Drosophila melanogaster: one gene and its partners. Changing the gene in region 2 together with the main gene of any one other region gives a genetic interaction. Each region holds a gene or a part of one and is shown on either strand. Other genes may lie near its edges.

The links. Genes that interact genetically often act in the same process or in processes that back each other up.
Region 1: of aPKC (region 2) and zip, changing one enhances a phenotype caused by changing the other (phenotypic enhancement), as found in Drosophila melanogaster (one study listed by BioGRID).
Region 3: of aPKC (region 2) and crb, changing one suppresses a phenotype caused by changing the other (phenotypic suppression), as found in Drosophila melanogaster (one study listed by BioGRID).

Annotation. Positions count from the first base shown.
Region 1 is NT_033778.4:25,006,540-25,013,174, reverse strand, and holds the start of zip (zipper), read left to right. Parts: upstream 1-1,711; 5' UTR 1,712-1,833; coding exon 1,834-1,863; intron 1,864-1,966; exon of another isoform or gene 1,967-2,075; intron 2,076-2,558; coding exon 2,559-2,795; intron 2,796-6,635. UniProt on the Drosophila melanogaster protein: Nonmuscle myosin appears to be responsible for cellularization. Required for morphogenesis and cytokinesis. Necessary for auditory transduction: plays a role in Johnston's organ organization by acting in scolopidial apical attachment.
Region 2 is NT_033778.4:14,953,195-14,961,567, forward strand, and holds the start of aPKC (atypical protein kinase C), read right to left. Parts: upstream 5,263-8,373; 5' UTR 5,050-5,262; intron 462-5,049; 5' UTR 322-461; coding exon 1-321. UniProt on the Drosophila melanogaster protein: Serine/threonine protein kinase which is required for apico-basal cell polarity in the germ line as well as in epithelial and neural precursor cells, for epithelial planar cell polarity and for cell proliferation.
Region 3 is NT_033777.3:24,293,470-24,300,001, forward strand, and holds the start of crb (crumbs), read left to right. Parts: upstream 1-1,608; 5' UTR 1,609-2,157; coding exon 2,158-2,395; intron 2,396-6,532. Other genes in the region: CG5715 (uncharacterized protein), read right to left, coding at 1-452, 509-901.

The DNA.
Region 1 (6,635 bases), about 10 Mb from region 2:
TTACTCAACGACGTATGCTTATTAGGTCGAACGTGCCCTGTCACGGGACTCCGGGCCAGGAAAGCCGTCTGCGGCATGGTTTCCGGACGGGCCCCATCCGATTCCAGCCCAGTAATAAAGGCCTTTGATTATGTTGCCCCGGGATCCCTTGGGAACGGGCAAACCTTGTTGTCTACCGCTTGTCTGGTCTTTCATAATTTACAGCCTCCCAAAAAAGCGGAATGGAAGCACCGACGCAGTTCTCTGTCCTTTGAAGATTTTGCAAGTTTAATTTATGTGGGTTTGTTTTTTCTTTTCTACTAGCAGTCTCAGCGCACATTAAAAATTCATTATCAGCATAAAGCTGGAAGGTTTCGGGAAGATGGGGTGGCTCAGCTTACCACGACAATTTTGTGGAAAACCAGGAACTACACGTGCAATTATTATCGCTGTCTGACCCAGTTGCTTCAAGGAGAAACGATGGCTTACCTGAATCGATAATTCCTGGCTGCACGTTAGTTTGTCATCCAATGAATCCTATTCGGAGTCCCTCACTTAGGATTCTGGAAACGAGAAACCATAGACAAAACGTGAGAGTTTTGCGGAACTAGTCGCGACTTCTTCTTATCCTTAACAAAGCACTCGCGACAACAACAATCGATTCTGTTCGTTTGCAGTTATTTCTTCCGCAAATGCAAATTGAATTCGCTATTGCGCTCTAATTTCGGCACATACACACGCATACGCACTCTCGCCACACATACACACGAACACAGAGAAACTGGTCAGCAGGCGAATGACGTCATTGCCAAGGATGCTGCGCGCATCTCAAGAACGCTGCCAGAAGTAGCACTTCATTTAAGGAACTGTGTTCTTGCTCTTAGTTGGAATCACTCAAGTCCGTTTCCCCAGAATTAAAAGTTCGCAAGGAGCCCGCCAGATATTTTATTAAAGTCAATTTAATTGCGACTGGCGCCAAGCACTCACATCTGGCTGTGATACTCGGAACTGGACTTACTGATTCAAGCGCGGACCTTCACCGTTCCTCGAAAAATTCAAAATTAACTGAAAGTATCCGCACATCCGCGCATTAACCCAACGGTTTATTGAAGTTTGGTTTTACCAAGAACTGATTCGAAGAGAGGACAGCACGCGAGACCCCGCAAAACACCAAAAACAAAAAGGCGGTAAGGTATTTTGATGTTGTCGTGCGGTCCAACTAAATGAACTACGTATATGTCAAAAGTAAAATCGACATATACGATACTTAGCTTGCACTAATTTGACCAATATTATAAATTGAAAAGTGAGTTGGAAACATCCTTTGCTACATCTGAATATGCAAGTGAGTGAAATCGGCAAAATAATTTAATCTCATTTCTATTCCGGAAGTATTCGATTCCAATCGACACCGCTTGGCTTGAAGCCGCGAATATTTCGATCTTAAGTGCAGTCATGAACCAGAGGAAGCTGATGCGATACTTTGCTAAAAACTTAGATATTCTGTTATAGAGGAATACAATGGCCGACCTGAAAAAATGTTACAGGTGTGTGCTTTAAACAAAATCTAGATGCGATCCATATGTAGAATTTTAATCAGTGTTGACATATCGATGTATGTGTTTTCAGAAAGCGCTGCCGCGGCCGTCGTGTGAACTACGACATATCGATGCATCGATATGTCCGAATGGAATCGGAAGGCATCGATTACCATCGAACTCGAAAAGTACTCGGTCGGCAAAACGGCAAGCGGCGAAAAACAGTGAAAAAAAAAGGGGGAAAGCGAAAAGACGTGCTCAGGAACTGCGGTCGAAGTCTTTGTGAGTGTGTGTGGGTGCAGCTGTCGCCAAACAAATGAAAAGCGCCTGGCTTGCATTAAAATCGGTAAAAAAAAAATCGGAAATGTGCACAGGCATCCAGCGAATGCAGCGACCTATTCGCCGGCGTCGGGACGCCGCCAGCTGAAACTGCACGGTCGAATTTGGCTGCATTTGCACAAACGCTGTGCTGACGCGGGGAAATGGGAGCATAAAAACCGAAACTTGTGTGCGAAATATGCGAATATGCGAAACCTTGGCTCCCAGTGCGATCTATGTGTGTGTGTGTGTGAGCCGTGCTGTGTGTCGGTGTTGCAGAACGAACCAAGTGGGAAGCAAAGCGAGAGAAGACGAAGAGGAAGAAAAAGAGCCGCTTGTACCTGCTCCGAAAACTGAAACATCCGAAATCGGAGGTGAAAAGGTGCTCTGATAGTGTTTAGCTGCAGTTTTAGGAGATGCAAACTGGTTAATTGCTACGTAACGCTATTTTTCCGCTAAATTACTTCACCACCCCTTCTTCTACGTTCAGCGGTGACTTTGGCTTAAGAAAATGAAAATGTGTGGCCATATTTTTTCCTCTCCGTCTTTCTTTCGCCTTCGCGCTCTCCCTTTTGAAACTCTCGCCGCGCGCTGTTCTCGCCGCCTCCGTTTTGTGCCGCACTTCCGAGATAAAGAACGCAAACGCGAGATAAATGCGAAATATTGTATCTGAGGAGCGAGGCAACATACTCATTGTTCTCATCGATTTGTTTTGTCCGACAGAAAAGTGCATTGCATCCGAAAAGCGAATATCCAGTATCCAATATCCATTATCCGAAAGCAGCTAATTACCGACAGACAAGGAATTATTTAGAGATCGCCGCCAAAATGTCGGAGGAAGTAGATCGCAACGATCCGGAGCTCAAGTACCTCTCGGTGGAGCGCAACCAGTTCAACGATCCGGCCACGCAGGCCGAGTGGACACAGAAGCGTCTGGTGTGGGTGCCACACGAGAACCAGGTGAGTCTACTTAAATGTAATGCCTACCCGTAGAGCATGTTCCTACTCTGGACGCAACCTCTGCTACGGGATTTCTACCCCGGAAGCCACGCCCGTTTCAGTGAACTACCTGAATAGACCCTATAGATAGCCTAAATGCAACAGGAACTGCTACAACTGAGATAAAAATACAGTCGATACATCATAACGCTGTTTATTTCGTGAAGTCGGTAGTCATTAGCCCATTATGGTTTTTTTTTTTTTTTTTGTAAAATTACCAAATGTACTTAATTTTCGTTTAATTTTCATATTCTTTTGCGTAAAAAATTGCTACATGTAACTATCTAATATCTAAGTATTACTTCGCAGTGAATGGTTATTATAGAACATAGTGTGTTCGACACATCGTGATAATATTTTAGCCCTAGCTGTACGTGCTCTAATCAATTTTCACAGTGTTTGTCCCCGGCTTTGCGCTTCTTATCAGCCAACACCTTTTGAGCCATCCGACTCACTCATCGATTGGTCATGAATCACGCTTCACCGATCCGTTTATTTTTAATTTTGAACAGGCCCAACTTCTTTGAATTTTCATTACATTCGCACCGCGGTGATAAACTTGGGTAAACATCCGTTGGCGTCGATGCTGAATCACTCTTTTCTCCTGCGCTGATGCTGAATTAATCTCACCGTAGTAGTGTGACACATTTAACTTCTTACTTGGTCAAATCCGCGACCATTTGGTACCAATTTGCATGCAGACGCTCTTCGACTCAGTGACTCACCTCCGAGGGAGAGTGGAAGCAGGAATGGCCCCAGTTCGCAGTTCCCACTAAGAGCGGGCCAAAACAAGTTTTCAATGTGGCTAGGTATTTGTGGTGTGGACTTGCTTGTGTGGGGCTTTCTGGCCTCAACCACACAGCCAGGCCAGCAAAGAAACGAGCCGAGATTGCGCCAAAGAATCGCTTCCCTCGGAGTTCGGGCGCCCGCTCTTGGCCTATAAATTCAAATTCAAAACTTTGGTCGACTGCTAGCGATCAAGCCTTATGATAACAAGCCGATTGTTTTGCTAATTTCGGTGTGGCTTGTTATTCTCTTCTTCAGTTTAAAGCGATTTCATTCAGGTGTCATTCAACTGCATTCCAACGACTTAATTTCAAGACCATAAAAAACGTAAACAGATAAAATTATCAACCGCTCCTTTCTCCCCTGGCTGCCCGTAATTGCTGTATTTGCCAGAGATAATTCCGTACATAGAATGGTAGCACTTTTGGGTGACTTCGTATAATAAAAGCAACATCGAAAACAAAAGCCAACAACTTCACATTTTTGTGTAATTACGCGATCACTTTAACAGACATTTACTTTACAATGGAATCTCACAAAAAGACAACGGCAGAGATAAAACCCAGAAATAAAACGAAAATAACGAAACGCTCGATTGTCATGAGTGGTCCGTCAGATTGTCTAAAGGCTAAAATTTCTTTGCGACTGACGAACGGCACATGAGACGGGTGGAAATAGTTAAGAAATTTGCATATAGCGCAACTGTTGCTCCGCTGGAATGTCCACAGATACAGCTACGTCTTAACGGGAACGGACCCGTCCAAAAGGGTATTCGCCAATTGTGTCAACACTCGTTTCGTTTCCAGCAACTGTTCCAGCTTTTCGAAATGTAAGCGAATTCGCTGAATAATGGCGGCGTCAGTCCACGTACGTGATATCCAAATTCAGTAATTTACTGGTGGATACACAAGGAGACCTTTTGTTCGTGGCTACATTTCGTTTCATGTTGTTTGCTGAACAGCGATGATTCATCGAATCAATTGCACAGAGAGCAAGTTTATTGGTGGGGATTAGATATATTGTACATTGAAGGTTTCGGGTTATAGGTTAATGTATATTTGCGATCTTGAAACTATTTAAATGCTTTTAATAGTTCATAGCTTACTTTTCCATTGTCCAACGATGAAATTGAAAAGTTAATACTTTGGAATTCGTGAACACGGTGGAAATGTGTTTACACCTCTTTTCTTTTTTCCCTCTTCTTCAGCGCTAATGCTCTTCTTATCCGCTGTCTTTGTTCAGGCATTCCTGAACGCCTCACTCCCGAGACCAATCTGAAAACTTTTTATATTGTTAGCCAAATTGAAGTCGGCTTAACCTTCGTCATGTCCAGAGAATCGATTCGATTGTAACGAACGGCGATCATTAGGGGGTCTCTGCTCACCCACACATGCTGCGTTTCATACTTCCACGCTTGTATGTGTGCTGCTCGTATTTATAACCAAAGAAACCACTTTGGACTTTGTTTGCGACCACTCCCACTCCGCTTCCGCGCCCCCGCCCTTTGGCGTGCCGCGATTGGTTCTGGCGGAGATGCCCGTGCCGCGCGAGTGTGTGTTTTCTTTTCGGTTACGGCAATGACAAACGTAGCCAGCTTTCGACTCTCGTCCGTCCGGTTTACGGTCAACGAACCTGCGCCTCGTATCACGTATGTGTAATATACGCTTCTTACCCTCTCCATCTCCACTTCCATCCTCAACAATGCATATACGTTGATCGATTAAGCGAAGGAATAAAATAAAAGAGTAACAAATTTTAATGGGCCCATCGAACGTTCGCATTTGGATCGTGATGGAAAAAGGGGGACCGGAGACATCTATTCATTATTCTGTTCATATTTACATTTTCGGAATAGTGTAAACAAAAGAAGTTGGCGAAAAACATACGCTCCCAGAGAGTAAATAATGGCCACAGATATATCTCAAAATCACCAATATTCTTATGTGTGCTGTTCGGCCGATACCTTGGCATGTTCAAGGTTGCGGTTGGGCACCCAAAAATAGTCAAACCCAAATCGGGGGCTCCCCTCTGGAATGCACTCCTTCCCAACATTCTTACTTTGATTCCCGCCTGTCTGATCATCACCAACATCTAGGTGTTGTTGATATATTTTCTTTGGTTTCGCTTCACCGATTGCCTGGAATGCCCGAGATGCCGTTGAGCGAGAATCCGAGACTGATGACCTCATATGCCCCAGCCTCTCGCGGCTGCCTCGCTGGGTAACTTCGGACAACTTCCCTGGACCGATAACTCCAATTCCTCTCTTGTGGGGCATTCCAATATCGTGATTCACGCACCAACTGTCGCAGCGGCTATAGCATTTTCCGATTCGGCGAACTTTTAGCTTCTTCTGCCACTGTCGCAAGCCTTGTGTATTTGTTTGTCCAAAGTGTCAAACGTTTTATGCACAAATGTTTTGCAGGCTGACAGCGGCTGCCCACAAAAAAGGCAGACGCCTGGGAAATGAATTTAGATACAGCGAAAGTACTCAAAATTTAGGCCTATATACATGCAGACGACTTTACCTTATGACTAATCTGTAAACTTTTCGCAGCGCGAAAATAATTTGCCGTAGGACCCAGCTGAGTATTCTAAAGAAGTCGTTACATGCTCTAAATGGTTTCATATACGCCATATATGCCCGAGAATAACGACTTTCTTATGGCTGTTTATCAACAGTACCGGAAAAGCGCAAAGATAACACAGGCAAGGCAAGAACCACCACGTCTCTGGTTTTTCCGAAACTGATCGCTGGGGCGTGTGCGTATTTAACTTAATGGACCCGAACCGGGCTGGGATGTATTGCAGATGCTTCTGCCCTGCATCGGCAGGCCGTTGTTGGTCTTAATGCATTTCTGTTTTGCAGCGGCGGCACGCCACTCCACCCTTTAATGACTGAGTTACGGGTTGCCCCTGATTTGATTAATGCCAATGCGTCGCGTGAACATGCTTCCCTTTGTTGTTGTTTCACTTGACTTCTAATTGAGGATGTTATTCTGTTGGTGTTCGATTAAA
Region 2 (8,373 bases):
CGAGGACGTGAGCATCGGCGGAGGTGGCGGCGTAATGGAGCCGCACGGAGATCCCGGACAAGGACTCGAGCAGCGCGATCGACAGGTGGGGCTGTAGCACAAGTTGCCACTGCCCTGCTGATTGGCCGACGGTGTGCTGGGGCAGGTCTGCGATTGCTGTTGCTGCTGCGTTTGCTGATGCTGCTGCTGTTGCGGCAGGCAGGGCTGCTCCTCCTCCTCCTCCTGCTGCACGATGTTGACCGGAAGTGGTGCACATTGCGTCAGGCGGCGCGGCGATCGTCCACGATCCACAGTCGTGGCGGACCAATAGCCCCAGGCCATTTTGGTTTACTTGAACAAATTTTTCACTTCGCGTCGCGTTTATTGCGTTTAAGTTCACTAAGCTCTCGCTTCGTTTCGTTTTGATTTTGCTCGAATTTGATTTTGCTTATTTTGTAAGTTCGTTTGCGTTGGACTTGATTCTGCGATTAATTAGCACAAGATTAACGTGGGGGAACTAGTAAGACACAATTGAAAGTTGTACTCTAAATCGAGTTTCGTATGTCCATTGCTTTTCAGCTTGTTTTGTTATCAAGGTCATTACAAGATTAAGTAGCATTGAATGTTTGATTTGTAATATTTAAGAATTGTTTGTTTTTCGCAAAGAAATCGTTATAACTCAATCTTTCTATCACTTCAACTTGATTTACTCCGTTGCCAGCGTTGCTTGACTAAGTGCCACCAATATTTCTACTTAGCATAAACCCCCCTCTTAAGTGGAGCGTATATAAAATTGGATTCAGTGGGGACTGAGTCGCGGGGAGAGCGGGTGGTCGGAGAAAGTAAATCGCGAAGGAAAGCGGAACAAGGTCCCAGTTGCAATTACAGTTACATGGCGCACCAAACTATGCAATGCAAAGTTTCAAAGCCAAACGACAGGCGGCGTATCCCCCACTCCGCCCACTTTGCTGATCTCGCAGTTCGTAATGATTGATTAAAAGAAAAACTCAGACACACACAAGGATATGGCCGTGAGAAGGGCGTTGGGCGATGGAAGAGGGGTTATGGGGATAGGGAAGGTGGGCGTTTGGCTATGGGCGTGGCCGGTTGCAGACGCCGCAGAAACCACACCTAAAAAAAATATATAAATTGTGTAATAATGGGAAAGACAAGAGAGAAACGAGCGGGGAAACCGAGAGAAATGCAGGCCGAACAGCTGACAACTCTGTCAGGACACCCACACACACACACAGACACACACAAGAAACAGTTGCTTGGAGAAATTGGTAACACACACAGAGACACACGGCTGCGACAATCACAAACAATTTAACCCAAGTCAAACGAGCGCACAAGTTGCTGCAAATTGACAAAGGCGTGAAAGGCAGCCAAGAGCGAGCGAAAATTATTGAGAAGGTGGGAGAGAAAGCGCCAGAGAAGGTAAGGAAAATCCAGAGAGAGAGAGAAAATCGGTCGACGCGCGCAGGGAAATTTGCTCGCAATCGCCCTTTTAAGTATGCAATCTTCTGTTGCCATTCCTACATTTCAGCCATGTACAGTGAAGACTCTGTGCAGTAAACTCGAAGGTTTTTATTCAAAAGATGAGATGGGTAATTATAGAAACATAAAAATATATATTTTATGTTATGAAAAGTAATGCTAATAGAAGTTAGTATCCCAAACTATTATAATGTGATTAAACACTTTCTTTCTCTTGAGCGTACACTGTATTCCAGTGAAAGGCGAACCCAGGGCAAAAGCCCACCCATCGATGCAGTCAAGTGTAAACAGAAAATTTTCTTCAAGTGTATTGGTAGGTCACATCGCAATCGCTTGTTGTTTAGACAATTGAAATTAAGCACTCCACTTTCATGCATAATTCGCATGATTAACGAGGGTCGAAGTGGGTCGAAAAAGGGGGTGGCGAGGTCCTTAGGTGGACAGCATCCACTTGACACAAGAGCCTTGTCGTGACAAGGCAAGCAGATCCCTTTGTTTGGCACTCATTTTCTCGGCATTTTCTTTGTTTTCCACGCTATCTGCTGATGATGCAGTCTCTGGTGACTGAATGGTGTGCACAAAAAGAGGATCTGATGCATTTTCGAATTAAATTTAGCCAGTCCCCTTCAACTCATCCCGTTTTCCCTAGCCCCATTCCCCTCTTTTGCACTGGCACTATGCTTCAGCGTTTGCTAAATATAAACACTCCGCCGGCATTGTTTTCTCTGCAATTGGAGCATGAATATTGGTTGCCTGCTTGTTTGTCCAGGATGGGAACAGAGCATCCCAAACAACCCAACAGTCCAGCCACCTACACTAAAGCCTTCCTGGCTCCATCCATAGAAACCTCTTTTGTTGGACTAACCAAAGTCCTAAAATCCCACAGCTCTAAGCTAGATTAAAGCTGATTTACAAACAAGAAAATTATTTAACAAGCTTAAAGTACACGCTTTGTTTTAAAGTTTTTAAGCCGATTAGTTAATTACTGCATAGGGAAAGTGCCCACAATAGATGTCTTTAAATCCTATTCTATTTATACTTCTTGATTTCAATTTGTTACATGATTAAGTTAAGTTTTCTGTTTTTTGTTTTCGGTAATTTAATATATTTTCACTGCATTGCATGGCCTAATAAAAATGCTGCCATAAATGTTTAATATCAATAAAGCTGCGTTTTTAAAGCAAAAAGCTATTGATTAGATATTCCCAATAGCTATTGTTTATTATTTACGGCCTCATTCAAGAATTTCAATGGCCTAAATAAGCACACGACTGCTTACATCAGAAACCCATCAAATTTGGATATTTAGCCCGCCACGCCCACGAATTATTGACCATTCCAGCGCCTCAATCATCCGCCCACTCTTGAACTTTGGCAAAGAAGCGTTTGGGGAGATGGGTTTCCTGTGAAACCATAACGATAAACCTGAGCAGGCGATGTTCGCCAAAAGGACTGCGGCACCATCTTTGGGCCAACAGATACCAGATACTCCGGACCAGAGGCATCAATAGTTAAACATCAATTTGGCTTTTCCGAGTGACGTCAAGCGGGGCGAGTTGCCACCTGCCGCCCACCTCGACCTCCAGTGGATATAAAATTTCACACAGCTTAAAAAAGAGAAAAGCGGCAAAATGGAAATGCCATAAAGTTCCCACTTACAGAAAGAATGCCCATCTGCGAAATGTACCTTAAAACGTGAATAAAGACGCTAGTTTATTCTATAAATATTAACAACTTCATGGATGGATACAAATTATATTAAAACAGAGCTAAACAGATAGTAATCGAGCTTCAGGGATCTAGAAAAATTTGACACTGTTGTGTATGTGCAACTTAAACAAATTTAAATAAAATGTAAGTATTGAGACTCGTAAAGCTTAAAGTTTAAGCATAAGGTCCTCAAAGTTGTACATTTTACTGTATGATTAATAATATAATATAATTATAGCTTTTTCTCTCTGCATCAACGATATGATATAGGCATCCGTAATGAGGCATATACATATGACCAGCAACCAATTCCGCCCACATCCGTACATTTGCACTGATCCCCTAACAATACCGAAATGGGCTTTCTTGTTTGCTGAACTAACAATAATTTCATTAAGCCCAATGGCATCATTAAAATTTGCCCAACAATCATAATGGGGCCAGCTAGCAAGCGAACTGGGTACCGAATCTGCCAGAGGCTGCATAGGCAAACCTAAAATAAAAGAAAAGGAACACAGACCAAAAACAGAACCCCAGGGTACCCAAAAAAGCAGTGGAAATTTGCTGATTTAACTTTGGCAAAAGGAGACGCACACACACCTGGTTCGAGTGAAAGCCTTCGGGCCAAAAAGAAACGAACAAGTTTAAATGGCAGGGCGACAGCTTGGCCAGCAAAACGCTTTCCGCAAAGAATGAATAAAAAGAAATTGTTTCGCCCTGCAGCTTCTTACTAGCCCACTGACTCATATTATATACATATGTATATGTACATAAATATATATAGTATATGTGCATATATGCCTTACATATATGTATGTATGCATACGAAATGGATCCATCTCGTCTATATAGTATAGTCGGTTTGGGCCAAGTTTGGGCAACCAGACGGTCGCCGAGGTGCAAGAAGCGCTTGATGAAGTGCAAATGCCTGAGGTCAAGTTTAGGGTGGGGATTCTCGCACACCATCACACACTCGCACACACACACACACACTGCCTCATTTTGCGTCATATGTGTTTGCAAGTGTGTGTGAGTGTGCGAGTGTGTGTGGTTTTGTTTGCCAGTGTCTGGCGCACAGCAGCCAAAAAATTTGGGAAAAAAGTGAACAGCGTGATGCAGAAAAAGTGTAAGGGAACCCACAAAAATGGAAATCAATTCTTTGATTTTTTTATCGTGGTTGCTCCCCTTTGTCTAAGTGCAAAATGATAGAGGCATAGGAAATGGTATGTTTTTAAAGCGTTCTAGAACTTTAATTGTATTGCACTGAGGTATTTAAAATATAAAAGAAAAATGCTTAGTGTGTGGGATTTCACCTGCGTTTTTGTCTGCGTTTTGTTTTTTACGTTTTTATACTTTAAGAAAGTGAATAAAAGCAAGGATTTTATTAATAGAAACTAAAAAACCATATTTATATTCAATTTTTTTTTTAACAAGAATGAATTATTATTATTAATACTTTATAAAGGGGTAAATTATAATCTTTCAAAATATATTGATTTTGCGAGATACGGTCATAAATTCCATCACATCTCTGGGGTAACTCTTTCATAAAGTTTTTACTTCATTAGCAGCACTAAAAAACGTTCATTAAAGAAACATTCACAAAATTATGTTAATCATTCCACGTCCATTGCCTTTCCACCTCCCCATTTTCCGACCCCTTCTCTCAGCGGAAAATTGTATGGCAACTAATCAGAAATGTACGACAACTTCGGCAGAACAGTCAAAAAATATTGCACAGGGCCAATTGATTTTTTCCGCAAGATTTTCGTGACTTGCCGAAGAGCGAGTGGAAATGTTTAAGAAAATAATTATATGGAATTATGTTATTCACTGATTTGTACTCCTTTTCCGACATACAACTTCGATTTTTCCGCTTTCTTTTGTTAATTCACAGCGCAGAAACTCGATTTGCCGTTTAGCTGTGCAAAATCTTGTATATTTGTATACATATATATGTATATGTATATATATATCTATAATTATGTATTTGTTTGTAAGGCCCGGGGAGTTATATCTTCGAATCGAAATCCGCACGGCACTTCCACACAGGCGAGCGGCCAACGCGCGAGTGAAATGCCGATGCAGAGAAGTATGCTAGGGAAATTTTTCGGGGAGAATGTAGCGGAAAGCCATGGAGAAAGCTATTGAGAGCGAGTCTCGGCGAATGGAAAAAGTAAAGAGCAAGAGCGAAAAAAGAAACTAGATAATTTGAGAAAAAATGTTTTGTTCTTTTAGTAGTTTCTTAGTAGACGTTTTTAATGAATGACTATAAAAAAATTATTATTAAAAAAAATATTTTATAACAATTCATTTTAGGTAAGCTATTTTGCTATGACTGTCTCGAAAATGAAGAAATGAAAAATATAATTTTTAAAAACATTTTTTATTCCAACACGTAAACAGAGTAAGAGTAAAGTAAGAATTCTATAATCTGAAATTACAATTCCGGATCCGTTTCGATGGATGAAGGTGATCCAAATGATCCGGAACTGAGTGGGGCAGATGTTACTAAAATTCAGTCCTCGTCCAAGGATTGGAAAAAGAAAATTTCCCTTCCCCGCTCTTTCTAGCTCCAAACAGCCTGTCGTGGCCTTGTGAATATACTTCACTTTTGGAGAGAGAGCGAAAATAAAAGCCGCAGACCGGCGCTTTAGCATTGCCATCTTAGATTCAATGGATGGCAATACCTTTCTCTTTGGCTCAGCTGTTTTTTGTGGCATCTGGGGAAATGCTCTCTCGCTCTCTCTCTCTCTCTGTCCTTCCATCTATTCTCTGTTGGCCATCGCTGTCTCGCTCTTGGGTAATGGCATCTTGTGTATCGACCTTATGAGCTGCAAAAAAAGTTCTTCGGACCTGGACAAAAGTTTTTCATGTACATATGCGTATGTGTGTGAGTGTGTGCCGGACAGCGTTGCCATATTGCAGGCGCATAAATTATACCGTTAGCTTACAGATTCTAACTTTTTGTATTGCTTTGTTTTTGGGAGAGCTGCAGAGGTTTTTGCTGGGCGGAGATGAAGCCGGAAGGTGAAGCGAAGTTCTACGGAAACACACTTTCCAACATAAGAAAAAATTAAAAAAAAAAAACGAAACCAAAAAACAAGAGAAGCAACAACAGAGAAGTCAAAACACGGGCTTGTATAAATGCAAAACACACTCACCAACAGCCATTTACTAATCAACACAACAACAATAAGCACACAAACAGAAAACATGTGCGGCATACAAACACACAGACAGGACATCCTAACATATGCAGGAGTGCGTGTAACGGTAACGTAATACCTTGACAATGTCCCTCTCCCGTACGCACACACACACAGTCGCAGGAAAACAGACGCACACAGAATACTTTTAATACATTTTAAGCCGCATTTTTTCACACGTGGCCACATAACACAAGAATAAAAACAAGAAAGAATGAGACTGTCAAGTGTTGCGACAGAAAAGCTACCCACTACCAGGCAATTGAATATTTAAGTAGCATAATTTTTGGGATATGTCCTGAAAAATAGATGAATAAAGAACTTGGAGTACGCTTGTTTTTAACGAATACAGCATACCCCTTGAAAAGTACCGGGTATGCAACAACAACAACCAACATGTTGTCCTTACACACTGTTCTTTTTTGTCATTCGGAGATATGTATGTACATATGTGAAGATGTGGACTGGCCACAAAATATCAGGAAGCCTGCTCCCCAGAACAAAAACAAAGCCGCATAAAAAGGGTAGCGGAAACTGTAACACCCTCTCCATCAAAACCCCACACCAGCCACGAACTTTGTTTAGTGCGACTGGCAGTTATCATATCTGCTGGGCCGTTAGTTGGCTTTTTTCTTGTTTTACATATCGGTGTTCGGAAAAACAGAATGACCACAGGTATGAAATGGTTAAGGATATATGGATAACTCGGAAAAATTTGAATAAGAACTACACTTTGCAAGGGATATTAATACTCAATAAAATTAAATGGTAAAAACAATTTTGGGTACTAAGTATCAGTTTAAGTATCTTACCCAATAAAACTAAAATGTCCTACATTCGTAGCCAAGAAGAGTGTATTCCTTGTTTATTATGCTTTAACCTCAGGCCCTCGTTTTTTTAGTAATTTACTGTATAAAAGGGTTTTGTGTTTGTCATTCGCCAAACGAGTGTGGTAAGTGAAACCTTTTTGTTGTTGCGGCAGGCATAATTAAGCACAAAACTCGCATCAGAGTGTGCATGAGTGAGATCGCCGAAAACCGCACAACAGGAAAATTAAAATTCCAAAAAAAGCTGGCGAAAACTTAAACCCACACGAAGCAAACAATTTAATTATAATGAATTATAAATGATGCCGTCGAGCCAAGATCCAAGCAGAATTTATATGCAAATAAGTCGGAGGTAGGCAAGAGTGAACAAACGTAGAAGAACGCTGACTGCCTAAGGCAATTGCCACAAGACTCAAGCTTTTCGAGCATGCGAGTGTTCGTACGGGTTAATTAATATTTTATGTTATTAACTCGAGTGGATGACGCTGCCTTTTGGCAGCCTGCGAAGGCAGAAAGGCAACCGGAAAACTCGCGGGGAAAACTCAAGTTTATTGAGCCAACAAGACGAGCTCACATTGTTTAATCAGGCTTAAATGTGCCTGCTTAAGTTATGGAAGCGAAGACGAAATGTGTGGCCGATTGGTTAATTAATTACTTGCTGCCTACCTTGCGGCGGCAGCAGTAAATCATTTAAAAACTTGGAGAATTGAAAATAAAAAGAAGAGTAATTCTGTGAATGCAGATACTGTATCTTTTGCTAGATAACCAGTAGGCTTACTTTGGTTTAATAGTGCTTTCCGCTCACATTAGTTTACTGACCTTATTAGATAAGTTTATCGTTTTCAGTTTTAGAAGCGAACTTAAATTACAATCGAAATTCCTTAACCAATAATAACCAATAACTCGACTTTCTTTTATTTATTACTCTAACGTATCTTTGCAATTTTAAATTTTGAGCAGACTTACCATGAATGACTAACTGGGAATCGAAGTTCATTTCGTAAAGTCGTATGGCCTCGTCCAATTCCATTTTCGTTGATATGGTGCAGGGATCGTTTTCCTCATCTACCCATTTGATGGTAAATGGCTAAACAAAACGCTCAATGAATTACACTTCTGTAACGTGCAGTACTTTATATATATTTTAC
Region 3 (6,532 bases), on a different chromosome or scaffold from region 2:
CCGGCTGAGAAGCCCTTGCGTTGACCCATCTGGCTGGCATCGGATGTGGCACGCAGTGCCTTCAACGTGGGCTGGCCATTCCGAGTGAAACTGGTGGGGGAGTAGTGCATCACACTGCCATAGTCGTATTCCACGCCGAAGCCGTACTGTGTCCTGGAACTGGACTTCTCGAAGTTGACCATCATCTCGGGCTTGATGTTGTCCTTCATCACGCGCACATAGGAGTCACGTTCGTGACGATTCTGCTCATGGAAGAAGCCCAGGGCGTGCATCAGCTCGTGAATGGGAGTGCCGTATGTACGCAAGCAGTTGGGCGACTGCAGATTCACTTCCTGGCGACCACCTAAGCGCCCAATGCTACTCCAGCAGCCAGACTTTCCGCTACCAATGGAGATGTAATCCTTTTCGGTGGTCCTGGGCTTGAAGCGCACGCATGTTTTGGTGTGGTATTCCTAAGATACAAAATCTTATTTGTAAATTGTAATAGGGACTATTACTGAAACCTCACCTTAAAAGCGTGGTTAATATTCCCCAATTCCTGGCTGGTAAAAGGACCTTTGATCTCGTAGGGCACAACGCCGCCCGGCCAGCGGGAACTCAGCGCCAAAATGCCATTACGAGTGCCATTGAATCGGGCGTCCCTGTAGCTCAGTGGAATCAGGATGTCACCTTCGTGGTAGGTTCCCAGCTCCTCGGGATTCAGCGGGGATTCCACACCGAGTGCCTCAACCAAAGCTCCAGTCGTCTCCACGTCCGGATTACCGAACAGAGTATCTCCAAGATCTGTCAAGTCAATCATTTCCTGGGAGTCCATATCCTCCAGGGGCATGGAATCTCCCAGAGAAATGCCCAGTATAATCAGTAGCAAAAGCGAACCAGTATTATTTTGCGATTTGCCCATTTTGCTAATTCCCCAACTGCTGTGATTTCTAACCAGGCTTACCCACATTATATAGTCCCACCTAGACCTCCAAAAATTGACGACATGTTGTCGGTGCTGCCTGTTTATGCTGAGTTCTCTTTGAAACGATAAGTCGGCGCTTTGTGGCCGTTTACATTTACATTAAGTACGTAGTTGCTATCCGCCGGCTTCTTGATTTATGGGGAATTTACTTTTATGCATTCCGACTTGAAAATATGTGCAGTGCGGAATTTTCGCAAGTTAAGATTTGCGGTATTATAAAAGGTTTATTCTATTTGGATTATGATGATGTAGGTCACAACTTACAAAACCCATAACTGCCGTTGGTAATTTAAGTGAAGTTTACGTTTTCATGTTCCCGCCATAAATTAAACTTTACTATGCTCGTGTATTTTGGAATGTCACCTAGACATACACACGATATTAATTGATATATTGAATAGTTATATCAGTAAAGTTTTATGAAAATGTAATTAACGGTTTAATTCTTGTGCGAAATCAATTCAAGAACAAAATATTTTTTTTGTACATATTGTACCACTGTGCAACTTGAATATCAGTGTGGCCATGCATGTTGACTCTATATCAAAATCCAGCCAAACCTAGCCAAGCGGACTGGTCACACTGCACCATATATAAGCCCACGAAACGGATATCGCCGATTCAAACGGTCGAACATTTTTCTTGCTGCTCGTACGTACGTTTTATTGGTTGCTCGCGCTCGTAACGTTTTTTTCGCCCCGTTTTGGCCAATGTGTGTGCGCGCGCGTGTGTGTGTGCTGCTTGCAGTTCAAAAGGGCAGCGACAACAACAAGAACAGCGCACCTCTCTTTTAAGCCAAGTCTTCGGCGCTCGTATGTGTGTGTGTGTGTTGGTGTGATTCAGAATCGTGGCCTGGGAAGAAATGGCAAATTAGTTGGCTCAAAGTGGAATCTCTGTGCTCAATATTCAAATTCAGGCTAGAAAGTGTCGCGTGCGAAAGTTTGCAAATAATACAACTAGCAGAAAAAGAGGAATATAACTTAAAAAAAATAAAAATAACCTGTTCTAAGCCAAGTGCCGATTGCGCGCGTGTGTGTGTGTGCGTATGAGTGTTTGCGTGGAGCAGAGAGAAGGGAGAATGCAATTACCAACAACAACAAGCTCAATGAGTATCGTTTGAATAGCAATAATATCTAGCCAAAAGCAACCCTTTCCAATACGAAAACTCGACTTGAGCCAACAAATCAGCGATCATGGCTAAAATCGCCAATGCGTCACTGTCGCAACAACAAAAACAGCGGCAAGCAGAAACAGCAACGACCACAACAACAACAGTGGCGGCATCAGTAGAAACAGCAACAACAACAGCAAGAAGTCGAGACCGCACGAAAAGCGCAGCTCAAATTACGTCGCATTTGCTCAAGCGCGCCATTTCAGTTTATTCGTCGCCTCAATGGATACCGCTCTTCATACTTATTTACTTAGCAACAGGTGAGAGAGAACCCTGAGAGGGAGCTAGCGAGTGAGTGAGAGGGAGGGCGATAGGCAGTCGAGGACATTCAGGAGGAGAGAGCGAAGATGGGGACATGAGAGAGCAACACGGTGTTTACGCGGTTCTTAAGCTACAGTGATCACTCCACAGCACTGAACTTGCCCGTTATAAATTATTAAAATGTATATTAGATGCCCATTTTAAATGGAATTTGTAATGTTGTTATTGTGTTTAAGCCTTTGGCTGCTCATATGATTAATGAGTTAATGAGATTGAGTTACGGAAGTCACACTGTAAATAATTTATATGATGAGCCACATGCATTCTTTAGCTTAAACATTTGCTGATGTTTCAAAAGCTCGTAATCGAAAAAAAAGAGCAACAGGTCATGTGTGTGTGTGGTGGGGCATTCGTGTGTTTTGGGGATGTTGACCAAGTCATGTTGGGTAAAAGGAATTTGGATTTTCAATGATTTCGGGCCTACGAAAAACTCGTTCAACGGGTTTTCCTTCAAGAAGTGACTCATGGAGCTGGCTTACCTGAAGTTTGATTGTGTTAATTATACACTCATTTCTAATTTTTGATGATTGTGTGCTCGGTCTTATCTTGCAAACAAAAGGAATGCTTAGAAATGTATTAGCTTCGATTGCGTATAAATTTATATTTAGTAGAGTACAACTTTAGTCGCTGAGAGAGATAATTAATCAAATTATAGCTTCAAAGGCGGTTAATGTTAGCAATCTTGGCCAAGAAGAATTAATTACTGAAACCAGAAGAGATATTTTAACGTGACCCGCATTTTTTACACACTGTAGCTTACAAATGGATATCATATTTTTAGGTAAATAACAGGGAATCGTAACAAATTATTGTTTCTGCATTTGTTGATACTGGTGCGATTTTTTGGTAATAAAACCTCATTTGTCTGCATTTTCAAAGCGCTTTTAGCGATATCACAACAGTGAAATCTGTGAAACTTATCGCATAACGATCATAATAATTGATTCACAACTCTTGCTGACTCATTATGTGTAATTTTCTGTTACATGTTGTCCGCGGCTCAATTGTTTGGCTGGCTTAGCATTGTCTGCCCCCTTTTTCCAACGGATTGTGCAAAAACGACCTCAAAAATTGGGTCTATTTATTTACAATTCGAGTACCAACCCTCCAAACGGCCAGCCATCCGGCTGTTGTTACGCGCAATCTTATCTTTTGGCCGGAAAGTGAAGTACAACAGTTGCAAAAGCGCGGCCAACTCAACGTCAGCAATACCGCAATTCCGTTGATAGGTTGATAAGAAGAACACTCAGGAGAAGGGAGCACAGATAGAGAAAGAGTTTTCCAACTCGAAGTAGGGAAAGCCCTGGAGTGCAGCGAAAACATAGTAAACCAGTTTATCAGCTCTTGAAGCTAATAGTAAACAAATTTTCAGCTTAATAATTAAAAAAAATCCAAACGAGTGAAAAGCCCTAATAAAGAGCTATAATTCATTCATTTCCATGAACACATTTTCTTTTAATTGTAAAGAACCAACCTCTCTATAGGCCCTGTATTTTCGTATACCTTTTATCGTAGAATTTATCAAATGACTTTGGTTTATGATTGACAAGGAAAACCGACGAATAAAAAGAAGAGAAAATGAATGTCTGGGCTGGGAAATCCCTGAAAGGCATCACAGCAACTGGTTTATGGCAGCTTCCATCGTAAAATCCAGACACCGACAGCGAAGATCATCAGCGTCATCTTCACTTCGAGAGTGGTTTCTGTACGGCTTTCGTTTGAATTTCCGCCCTAAACAGATATAATCCATCATTTTCAGGGGAAAAATCGCGGCACAGGTATACTAGGCACGCTGGAAAAGTGGAGGGAAAACACAAATGAACCGAAACTACCTGCATTGCGTTAACGATAACAACACGTGACCCCGCGAGTTTATGGAAATTCTCTGGCACGTACATAAATGAAAATCGAGAATGGAATGGAAATTGTACGCTGGACACACCCGCGTTCTCCGCTCTCCGGTGTCCGGTGTTTCAACCTGGTCAAGTGTTAAAGTGCAATCGGCCGTGACGCGGGTCGTGGGCCATGTTCCGTGGGCCTACGCAGCCGGCCGCGACCATTGCCTGACGTTGGCCATTAGTGCAAGTCGTTAGCCAGGTCTATAAAAATAGCCAGAGTATAACTGAAAAAGAACTGATTTGCCCCAGTCCTTTAAAGGTTAGGGCGTACTTTACTACCCAGTACTTAGTGGGGAGTGGGGAATTGTGGCGGAAGTGGAATTGAATGCAATACTGAGAATGCAGGGCGCACATTTCAGGACCAATTTTGGTTATAGCCGAAATAATTGGGATGTGGACTCTTGGTATGATTTTGGACTAAGCATAGAAAGTTGTAATTAGGTAACTTTAAGTCGAGACAACTGCTTAGTTCTGTCTAGTTTCTCCTTGCAATGTTCCACGTTTTCTGCGACTGCATCGATTAGCCAGCCACCTTGGGAAATTACCGATGCACAAAAACCACAAATGTGAGAAACAATATGACATAGTGGGGAAAATATTATACTAAACTGAAAAGACAGTGGCAGCTTTCGCTTTTACACGATATTAATTCCAAAAATTTATTCGATGCAAACAAATGTTTAAAAGTTGTGGGCGTTGTTCAATGCTGTCCGTTGGATTGTCTTTATCGCGGTGATCACGTAGTGCCGTTTTATCTGTCGCTATTTGCATACGCAGCGTACTGCCAGCAACAACAAATTCCATTGTTAGCATTGAGTCACACCAACAACGATACCGTGGGCCACAACGCACCAAAATCGAACACAAATTGTTTGGTAATTGAGGTGGGAAATTGGGGAACATACTCTAAGGTTCTGAAGGCAATTAACGGGCTCAGCATGCGTGGTTTTATTATTTATTTCAGACCATATTAATAGCATGTTGTAGTGCTAAACACACAAACTAAAGCTTATATATGAGGTAGCAGCCATTTAATAAATAATAAAATATTTATGGAATTATTACTTCTATAAGTTCATTCTACTCACATCATATGCCCTGTGGAAAGTGTAAAGTCACTTCCTGATATGATTTTGTACATTTTTTCCATAATTACTCACAGCCCTTAATTTATTTTGAAAACCTTACCGCGGTGCAACGCCCACGTACTGCGTTTATACTTCAAAAGTCTGTGTTTGCCCAGGTTGTGGGTTCCGAAGGTTCTAGAGGTTCATTCCGGTGGATCTGGTGGTTCTAGTGATTCTGGTGGATGAAATGGTGTTGCTCTTTGGGGACGCACCGGAAAAGATTCTCAGGTGTGTTTTCGGTTTTGTTTTATTCAACAGTTCATTGCTTTGTGCCAGTTTGTGAACGAGTCTGGCCGCCCCTTTTTCCAGGCCCACAGAATGTACAAGGGCCGCCTTGTTGGCAACACACAGAAAGCGGTCGAGCAACAACACACCACTGGCTGCCACAAAACTGGTTCCCAGGCGCGCCTGCGCAGAGGTGGCTCCAAAACAAAACAAAAAAAAAAGCACACACAAAATTTTGAACGGCGCCAAAAGAGCGGGGGAGAGAAAAAGCGACTCTAATTTCGAGTGTGCCCCATTCTAAGCATTTATTTTCGGGGCTCTTTTCGCTTGAAAGTCATCTTGGTGTTCCCAGAACCAAGATATTAATGAATAAACGATAACTGTTTAAACGTAAAGATTTATTCACACGGTTAAATATAGACAAGTTCAACGAGAAATGGCACAAAAAGAAAAATGAATTAACTAAATTGAAATAAGCTTATTCGTGAACTCATTTCAACTTCAATTGTTACTTTAAACTTTTCACACTTATGCTGGCTAATATGAAAACTTGATATGAGTTGCTTTGATATCATTGCCATTATTTACTACCCTCTATTTTGATTTCGTGCACAATTTCATGAGAGTAACCTGAGCGAATCCACTGGATTGGTGACGCACTCAAACTTTTTAGTGGGTGCGTATTTTTTGGGTTATTCTCCTTATAATCTGCAGCTTTCATGAGAAACGTTCATTTATGAAAACTAATTAGCTTCTGGCCGCTTCAATGTATTGTTACCATATTGTGTGGCCGAAGCGGTTTTATTTAAATATTTAAAAATATTTC